Linked DNA regions of Mus musculus. The protein of the gene in region 1 interacts with the protein of each later gene in a pairwise test. Links are inferred from orthologs where the notes say so. Each region holds a gene or a part of one and is shown on either strand. Other genes may lie near its edges. The genes, in order: Rgl2 and Rap1b.

Region 1 (4,328 bases):
CGAACTCAGAAATCCGCCTGCCTCTGCCTCCCAGGTGCTGGGATTAAAGGCGTGCGCCACCACCGCTGGACTCGAACTAAACTTTTAAGATGAGAAAAAAGCGAGACTTAGCGCCACACTCATTTGATGCCCACAGTCGGGAGGCAGAGGCAGTGGATCTCTGACATTTCCATGCCAGCCTGATCTACAAATAGGGAGTTTCAGGTCAGTCGGGGTTACTTGGCGGGGCTTTGTTGAGAGAACTAAATATAAGAACACACATGCGTAGAGTCCCAGGGTTGAGAAGAACCAGTGTATGCGCCAGAGAGGCGGGTTCATAACCTGTGGCTCACAACCCCCTTTAAGTCCATCGGAAATACCAGACATTAGGATTCACAACAGTAGTAAAGGCAGTTACGAAGTAGCAAAGAAAATAATTTTACAACTTGAACTGCGTTAATGTTAAGAAGGTTGAGAACCACTGGCCAGGGGATTAGGACGAAAGGTCTTCATAGCATCTTAAGATTCTAGAGACCTCAGGGACAGCCCACAGCAGTAGTCTAGAGACGGAAAGGTCCATGTGTCTCCCTCGCGGACTAAAGCCTACCTCTCCAGCTCTCCATTCCTACCACAGCTTTTCTTTTGCCTGGTCCACCTTTACCATCTCCGGGCCTGGTGGGTCTCGGCCCTTTACGAATGTCCCCGTGTGGTTCGTCCTCTCCTGTTCGCCGGTCCTCGTGAGCTAATAAAGTCTTTCCGAGTTTCCATGCGGGCCTCTCATTCTCCCGTTTCCAAGCACAGCCAACCTCGGTCACCTCCCGGTCCTCGTCTCGCACCCGGGAGACGACATAGCCACCGTGGGAACCGCGCGCGCTCGGGCGCACGGTGAGAGCCGGACGCCCGGAGCGACGGACCCGAGTGGAACCGGAAGCGCCGCACTAGCCGGCTTCCGCCCCCTCCCCGCGAGTGGGCGGGCATAAGGGCGGCACAGAAAACCCGGCGCGGATTCGCTCCGTTGCACTCGTGCCGGGGCGGCAGTGTCATTCTCGAGCTGCAGTAACGGGGTCGCGCCACTGCTAGGGCACTTTCCTCGGCAGTTGCAGCGCCGCTCTGGTTAGAAAAAGTGACTTAAAATTCCGTGTTTGCCTTCCTGTGGAGGCTTGAGACAGGACCCTGGTCTCCAGCGTGTCTGCTGCGAGACGCGGGCTTCAGAGCCACCGAGTGGGGCTGCAAGGGACAGCGGAGTAGTGCACCTGCAGCCTGCGTCCCAGCCCCTGGCGTCCAGCACTCCCCTAGTCGCTCTCCCTGGCTCCTGTCCTCACTTCCTTCCCTTTTTGGCTCCTGCTGTCGGGCGGACGCGGGGAGGGGGGAAGCGGAAAGGGCGGGAGGGCCCGGGAGCCCGGCGGGGTGCAGGAGGGGGGCATCGCGGAAAAGCCGGGGAGGGGACTCGGTAGAGGGCCAGAGACCGACAAGAACAGAGGCCCGGGACCCGCGCGCAGCCCTCGCCCTTCCCGAGCAGGTCAGAGCCGGAGCACCGGGTGACCCTGCCCATTCCGCACTAGTTAGCCCCCAAGTCCCAAGCAAGCACCGAGGGCTTGGGTTTCCCCACTCCCGTATCTCCCTCCCCCAGCCTTCCTCAGGGACTCCCACCTAGGTCCCTTCTTGTCCGTCTCCCCCACGCCCGTCTGACTCCACCCAATCCCACCCGTCTCTCCCCAGGCGCCCCCATGGCCCGACCCCGCTGATTGCTTCTCTCGGCCATGCTCCCGCGGCCCCTGCGGCTGCTTTTGGACACGACCCCCCCCGGGGGAGTCGTGCTGAGCAGCTTCCGGAGCCGGGACCCCGAAGAGGGTGGGGACCCAGGTGGCCGGGCCGTGGGCGGGGGGCAGGAGGAAGAGGATGAGGAAGAAGAAGAGGTGAGACGCGGGTGGCGGGAGGCAGGGCATTAAATATTTCTGAGACTCTCCTCCTTTCGGTGTCTCTGGGTCCCTCGGTCTCTTCCTCCCCGCCTCACTCGCATCCCGCCCGCCACACTCTCTCTGGATATCTGTCCCCTGGCTGCGGGTCCTGGTGTCTATGAAGTTCGCCCTGTCTGTCTGCTCGGAACCTGCCCGTAGGAACCTGCCGGAACCAGAATGGCTGGCTGGCAGACGGGCTGACTGTGCCTGCGGGGCTCAGGCCCTCTTTGCCCATACCTGCTTAGACGGGTGCCACTGGGCAGTTGTATCTTGGTCCCTGTCTCCCTCCTCGTTTTTTGTTTGGCTGGGAGGGGTTTGTTTCCACAGTAACCAGCTCCTCAGACTCTAGGATTGGGGAGGGAACCCTCAGATTTCGCCGCCTCTTCCCCCACCCCCTGGTGCTCAATAGAGGGCAGCAAGCCAAGAGGTTCCGGCACCTGGAGAGATGATCCCGGGATAGGTAGAGCGTGGTCATCTTCGTCCAAAGAGACTGATAGGATGTAGTCCGCAGCAAGATTTAGGGATTCAGGAGGGTCCAGAAGTTAGATTCGGAGCCCGAGGATCCAGACTCCTGGGCCCCGACATTGGTAAAGTTAGGGTGACTAGCAAGGCTGGTTTTTCGGGATCGGTCGGGGGAGGGGCTAGGGCCACATGACTCTGAGTCTACCGCCCCCCCCCCCCATCATCCTTACTTCCCCTTCTTGTAACTGGGATTGGAGCCGCCACCTTCAGGGGGTCCCCAGTGCTGAGATTAAGTGGAAGCTGTATTGGGGACCTGGGGAAAAGGAGTCTCTGCGGAAGGACTAAATTTGGGCTCCTCTGGTTCTGTCAGGGAGGGCGGGCCTTGTGAAGTTTCAGCTTCTCTCTGCTTCAGGTCTCTCTTCCTTTGGCTTTGTGCCTCTTCGGGCGCGCTCTGCTCCTGACTTTGCGCCCTGCTTTTCTGCGTTGGGCTCAGCTGTGGGACAAGGGGGGTTGGAGGTGGCCAGAAGAGGGGTTCCTGCATTCAGTTGAAACCCTCACTGCAACCTCTTCCATCCCACCGAGCTCTGAGGTGGCCGGGGGGGCTGTCTGAGCCCCAGGGTGGGGTAGACCTGGGGTCACCAGTACCCTCTACCCCTCGCACTCGCTGGTATTGTCCCCCGCCATCACAGGTGAGGGGTGCAGAGGGAGGAACAGGGCCTGGGGACAATGGCTGGGGACTGGAGGTGCTGTGGAACTCACTTCCTCTTCTTGCTCCTCCAGGCTTCTGTGTCAGTCTGGGACGAGGAGGAGGATGGTGCGACCTTTACTGTCACAAGCCGCCAGTACAGGCCTCTTGACCCCTTGGTGAGATCACGACTTTGAGGTCTTGCCTCTCGGTTTTTAATTTAATATTTATTTATTTATTTTCCGGAACATTAGGTTGAAGAAGTTCTGGTAGTGTGAAGGTAGTTCTGTGTTGTGTGATTTAAGCCATTTCTGAACCGGGGCAGAAATAAGCTAGATCTGGATTATCCCAGATGTCTAGCAGTCAGATTGAGGAGGCCCGTCGGTGAGACACCCTCCATGTTCTCCAGGCTCCCTTGCCTCCACCTCGCTCCTCCCGACGGCTCCGCGCTGGCACTCTGGAGGCCCTGGTCAGACACCTCTTGGATGCCAGGACAGCAGGGGCTGACATGATGTTCACTCCGGCCTTGCTGGCCACCCACCGGGCCTTCACCTCCACTCCTGCCCTGTTTGGGCTTGTGGCTGACAGGTCAGGGGCCAAGGGTTAGGAGGCTCCTGGATTCCCTTTGAGCACCCCCAGCACCAGCGGGGGCTGGAAAAGCCACAAGGTAGACCCTCTCCTCATCCCCAGGCTGGAAGCCCTTGAATCTCATCCTCCCGGTGAGCTAGAGAGGACCACAGGGTGAGTGGCCCTGTCTGAACCTCAGTCCCCTCAGGGTGCTGAGGCTAGACCTCTGACCCCTGGCTGATTCCCCTTCTCTCAGGGTAGCCATCTCTGTACTTTCAACTTGGCTGGCCTCTCACCCTGAGGATTTTGGCTCTGAGGTCAAGGGTCAACTTGACCGGCTTGAGAGCTTCTTGCTTCGGACAGGGTATGCAGCACGGGAGGGTGTTGTGGGGGGCAGTGCTGACCTCATCCGAAACCTCCGGGCCCGGGTGGACCCCCGGGCCCCCGACCTTCCTAAGCCCCTGGCCCTTCCTGGCGATTCCCCTGCTGACCCCACGGATGTCCTGGTGTTCCTCGCTGACCACTTGGCCGAACAGCTGACCCTGCTAGATGCGGTGAGACCTTGACCTTTGACCCCACACTCTCTGCCCCCTTACTAACCTCTCCTTGGCTCCGGATCCTTTTCTTGCTTCCAATTGTCCTGGTGCAGTTCCTCTTCCGTGTCTGCTTCTCTGACC
Region 2 (4,463 bases), on another chromosome or scaffold:
GCAGGTGGATTTCTGAATTCGAGGCCAGCCTGGTCTACAGAGTAAGTTCCAGGACATCCAGGGCTACACAGAGAAACCCTGTCTCAAAACAAACAAACAAACAACAAACAAAACAAACCAAACAAAAAGGGCTGGAGAGATGGTTCAGCAGTTAAGAGCACTGACTGCTCTTCCAGAGGTTCTGAGTTCAACTCCTAGCAACCACATGGTGGCTCACAACCATCTGTAATGGGATTTGATGCCTTCTTCTGGTGTGTCTGAAGACAGCTACAGTGTACTCATATAAATAAATCTTTTAAAAAGGATTCTTTATTTCAACTTGTTACTCTTATAGGCTCTTTAGTGGGAGGGCTCACTTTCCCTGTATAGGTCAAAAGAAAATACTGGAATCATTATAAATGACCAATGATAAAATGATCAACGTGGAAAGTGAGAGATTCCCAAAGAAAATGTTTAATTCTTTTTAAAATGATTACACTGTTCTCTTTAGTCTCTGAATTAAGTCCCAAACATCACTATGTGCCCAGGTAAAATGCTAGGGACTAAGAGTAAAGCAGAATTCCTATTCTCATGGTGTGTTCAATGAACTCTACTGAACTTTCATCTGAGTGTCTATGTAACAGCGACATGCTAGTCATTTGAGGCATGCAGAAGAAATCTACCCCTTCCTTGGACCTTACAACTTGGTAGAACAGAGAAACACACACAACAGTAACAGAAGACAGGAAGTGATACAAGCCACGGAAAGAACAGTGGTAAGACAGACAGAAAAAGAAGAAAGACACGTTCATCATTTCTGTGTCCCAGACCACAGACTAAAAATTAAGCCGGCTTAGCATGGGGCCCTTCAGATGTTAATCTGAGGTTCGATACATTATAGCACAAGCAACTATATGTCCTTTTGATTTTACTTTGCAGCTTCCACAGATAAGGTCACTGAACTTCTGTGTCAAACAAGAAAGTACAAGGGAATATAATGTACTACAGAGATTAAAAGTATGGATATCAAACAAGACTGTCATTTGGGATTCTGTGTCTCTAAGTTAAAATTATTTCCTCCTCGGAGTATTAACTTCCTCTAACCAAAACCAGGGGATGAAACTACCTAAGGGGTTGACGTATTCCATACCATTTAGCTAACTATGGCACTCTTGGAGAAGAGAGCATAATGGGACCAATAATCTCTACCAAGATGTAATTCACAATTAAAAAAAAAAAAAAGTCACATTGCTTCCTGTGGATTGTCCTTTATGGATAGACCACGGCTTTACAAATCAGCAGACTCAGGTAATTGGTTATCTATTTTAGGCCTTAGTTTCCTCCTCATGAAACGACAGGGTGGGACCAGATGATTTAAAGAGTCTCTTTCCGGCCCTAAAAAGCCCCATGACTCTATTATGACTTAATACACTGACTTCATATCAGGCTTTAAGAGTGGTAAGGGCTTTAAATTAAAAGAATTTCTCCATTCAATTAAGTTACTTCTTGCTAAGATAAACTCCTTTCAGGCAAGTCTCGACAACGTTCTAATTATACAAAAGAAAACTGAAAAAAAAATGAATTTACAAGCTAGAGGCACTCGGTATATATTAATACACACTGCCAGCAAAGCAAACATTTCAACGAGACTCAATTGATTTTTAAAATATTGAAAAGTCCAGCCTGCATCGTAATGTCAACTTTCAACTTAGTAAAAAAAAAAAATGTGAGTTCCTATTACTGTAATAAAGAAGTGCTTGTATGCACACGAGTCGAGAGTCGCAGGGCCAAAATATCTTTCTAAAGCATTGGGGGGTGGGAGGGGGCAAGCGAAAGGAAAGCAATCCCATCTGCTCAAAACTCTTAAGCGAAGATGTTTCTTCCAAAGGCATCTTCTCCTCCCGCCCCCCTCCACCCCAAGGAAAATCCCGAGGGCCTAGTTCCCAAATTCACGGCGCTGATAAGTCAGTTTCAGAATCAGACACCTCGAGATGGCGAAAAGAAAAAAAAAAAAAAAAGGAGAAGAGGACAAACTTCCTGGATTTTTCTCTCTGCAAGAGAAAAAGAGATTTCCTCTTGCTGACGAAGGAAAGGCCCCTTTAACATTTTTTTTTTCCCTCTGCACGGTGGCGGCTGCCAGACTAGGTGGGGCTCGCTCCGCTGCCTTCCTCCTGCCACTTCCCGCAACAAATGAAGCAAGCCAGCCCCGATCCGGGCAAACTTTTTCCCTGTCAGGCTCGAGCCCGCGGGGCGCCGGGGAGTGGTCCCCCCGCCCCCCCTCGCGACGCTGCTCCGCCCGCCCGGCCCCGGGCTGGGAGAAGCCCGGGTGTCCGCAGAGGACAACTTTCTGGTTTCCGCTCTAACTTCCACCCACCGCCGAGGCGGGGAGCGGGGCGCGGCGGGGAAGGCTGCGGGGGCCTCGGGCAGGCGGGTGGGGGCTCCTCGGGCGCTCACTTCCTCCGCCATATTTCAGACATTTGACCCCTTCCGCAAAGCGCGCTGCTCCCCCGCCGCGGCCGCGGTTCCTCCCCGGCCGCCCCGAGGCGGCGCGCCCCGCCGAAGCGAGCGAGGGACTCGGGGGGCCCCCCGCCAGCCACCTGCCGCGCGCCCGGGCCACCCTCGCCGCCGCGGGGGCCATCGGGCTGCCCCGCCCGGTCCGCGCCGCACCCCACCTCTCCCCTCAGCCGGCGCCCGGCCCCCCGCCAGCCTCGCGGCCACGCACGCACCCCGCGCCCACCTCTCGCGCTGTCACCGGGTCGCCGCCGTCGCCCTCGCCGTCGCCGCGCGTTCCCTTCGGGTCGCTGCTCCCGGCGCCACGGCGGTCTCTGCCGCTGCCGCCGTCGCCGTCGCCGCCGCCGCCGCCGCTCGGGCTGCTTTCCACGCCTGACTCTGGGCGAGGTTTGGCGGTGTCGCCTTGACGTCAGGCGTTCAGCCTCGCTCTCGCTTCCGCCCGCGGGCGGGGCGCGCAGGAGCGCAGCCCGGGAAGGGGCGGGGCCGAGGCGGGCCCTGGCGGAGGGGGGCGGGGTCTCGTCGTGCTCGCCTCGCAGTGGGCCTCGCCCCGGCTCTCGGTCGCCGGCTCCGGCCGTGGCCCTTCTCCCCTGCCCTGCGTCTCGTTGCTGCGGTCGGCCTCGCCCCCCGCTGGCTGGGCTGTCCGACATAATCGGTGTCAGCCTCAGCGGAGCGCATCCGTTTCGACCCCAGCGGGTAACGGGGAGCTCAGGGGCTTGGAAACCTCTGACGCCTTCGCGGGGCCTCCGAGTGCACAGTCGCCAACGCCCCCAGACCGTCGGTGTTCGCGTGGTCCTTTGTGCTGGGGAAGTAACAGAGCAGCAGTTCCCACTCCCAGAGCGCGAGGGCAGCTTTTCATTTTTCAAATGGCCTTTCTTTAGGTTTGACAAGTATTTCAGCCTGTGGTGTGTTAAGCAGGGCCAGCTGTCCAAATTACCCTGCCAGACGCAGTTCGCGAATGGAGGATTCCAAAGCATGCTTATGGCCTGTGCCTAAGTGAACAGTTTATAGAATTAAAATAATTGGTTCATGGAAGAGCATGCCTGGGGCGCCTTCATGACTTTATAGATTACTCATAGATGTCAGTCTATGATGTGACTCCGAAAAGCTCTGTCCAAAAATGACTTGTTCCAAAGAGCACAAGAACTTACATCGATCTAGGTAATTAGAATATTTTCTCACCATCACCTTTAATATGAGAATCATGCTATCAGAGCTTTGTTTGGAAGACTTTGTTTCTGCTCTGATTACGCTCTCTTCATTGCGTGGTCCTGGCTGGCCTGACCTTGCTATGTTGACCAGCTTGGCTTTCATCTCAGATACACCTGCCTCTACGTATGGAGTGCTGGGGATTAAAGGCATGCGCCACCACTGCCAGCGAGGGAAAAGGTTTTGATGAACAAAACTTGAGAGGAAAGTACTGAAAGGAGTAGGCAATTTAGCTGGCCCTCCCTGTACAAATTATTCTGGAAATTTAACGAACCCTAGAAGAGAAATGGAGACGTGACCACTACGCTAACCTGAGTTAAGTGAGCGAGTAAGAAAGAATTATAGCTGGGTCTCAGGATGCCAGTCTGTAAGAGCACACCTCTTTCTTCTGCAGACTGAGCAGGAGGTGGCTCCTTGCAAATTCTAGGTTGCTGAGGCCACAGAGTAAGTTAAAGCCAACCTAAACGGTTTTGTGAGATTCTCAAGAAGTTAAAAAAAGGGGGGGGGCATAGCTTAATGATCCAGTACTTGTCTAGCAAGTGTCCGAGTGTAGTAGGTTCAACCTTTAGAACAACAAAAAAAGAAAAAACCCATAATTGACAGTTGTGTGTGCTTCTGCACGCTTGTGCCCTCGCCTGTGGGCACACAGAAGCCAGAGGTGAACAGGTTATTTTCTGTCGCTCTCCACTTAGTTGTTTTGAAACAGGGTCTCTCACTGAACCTCACCAATTAGGCTTGAGTGGCTGGCCACCAATCTCAAGGGAGTC

Evidence for each region.
Region 2: the proteins of Rgl2 (region 1) and Rap1b interact in a two-hybrid assay, tested with the Homo sapiens proteins (2 studies listed by BioGRID and IntAct). The link is inferred for Mus musculus from reciprocal best matches to the Homo sapiens genes RGL2 and RAP1B.

The regions. Positions count from the first base shown.
Region 1 is NC_000083.6:33,928,547-33,932,874, forward strand, and holds the start of Rgl2 (ral guanine nucleotide dissociation stimulator-like 2), read left to right. Parts: upstream 1-1,347; 5' UTR 1,348-1,498; intron 1,499-1,698; 5' UTR 1,699-1,739; coding exon 1,740-1,895; intron 1,896-1,901; exon of another isoform or gene 1,902-2,397; intron 2,398-3,179; coding exon 3,180-3,263; intron 3,264-3,493; coding exon 3,494-3,672; intron 3,673-3,774; coding exon 3,775-3,825; intron 3,826-3,907; coding exon 3,908-4,205; intron 4,206-4,328. UniProt on the Homo sapiens protein: Probable guanine nucleotide exchange factor. Putative effector of Ras and/or Rap. Associates with the GTP-bound form of Rap 1A and H-Ras in vitro.
Region 2 is NC_000076.6:117,843,115-117,847,577, forward strand, and holds the start of Rap1b (ras-related protein Rap-1b), read right to left. Parts: upstream 2,861-4,463; 5' UTR 2,717-2,860; intron 1-2,716. UniProt on the Homo sapiens protein: GTP-binding protein that possesses intrinsic GTPase activity. Contributes to the polarizing activity of KRIT1 and CDH5 in the establishment and maintenance of correct endothelial cell polarity and vascular lumen.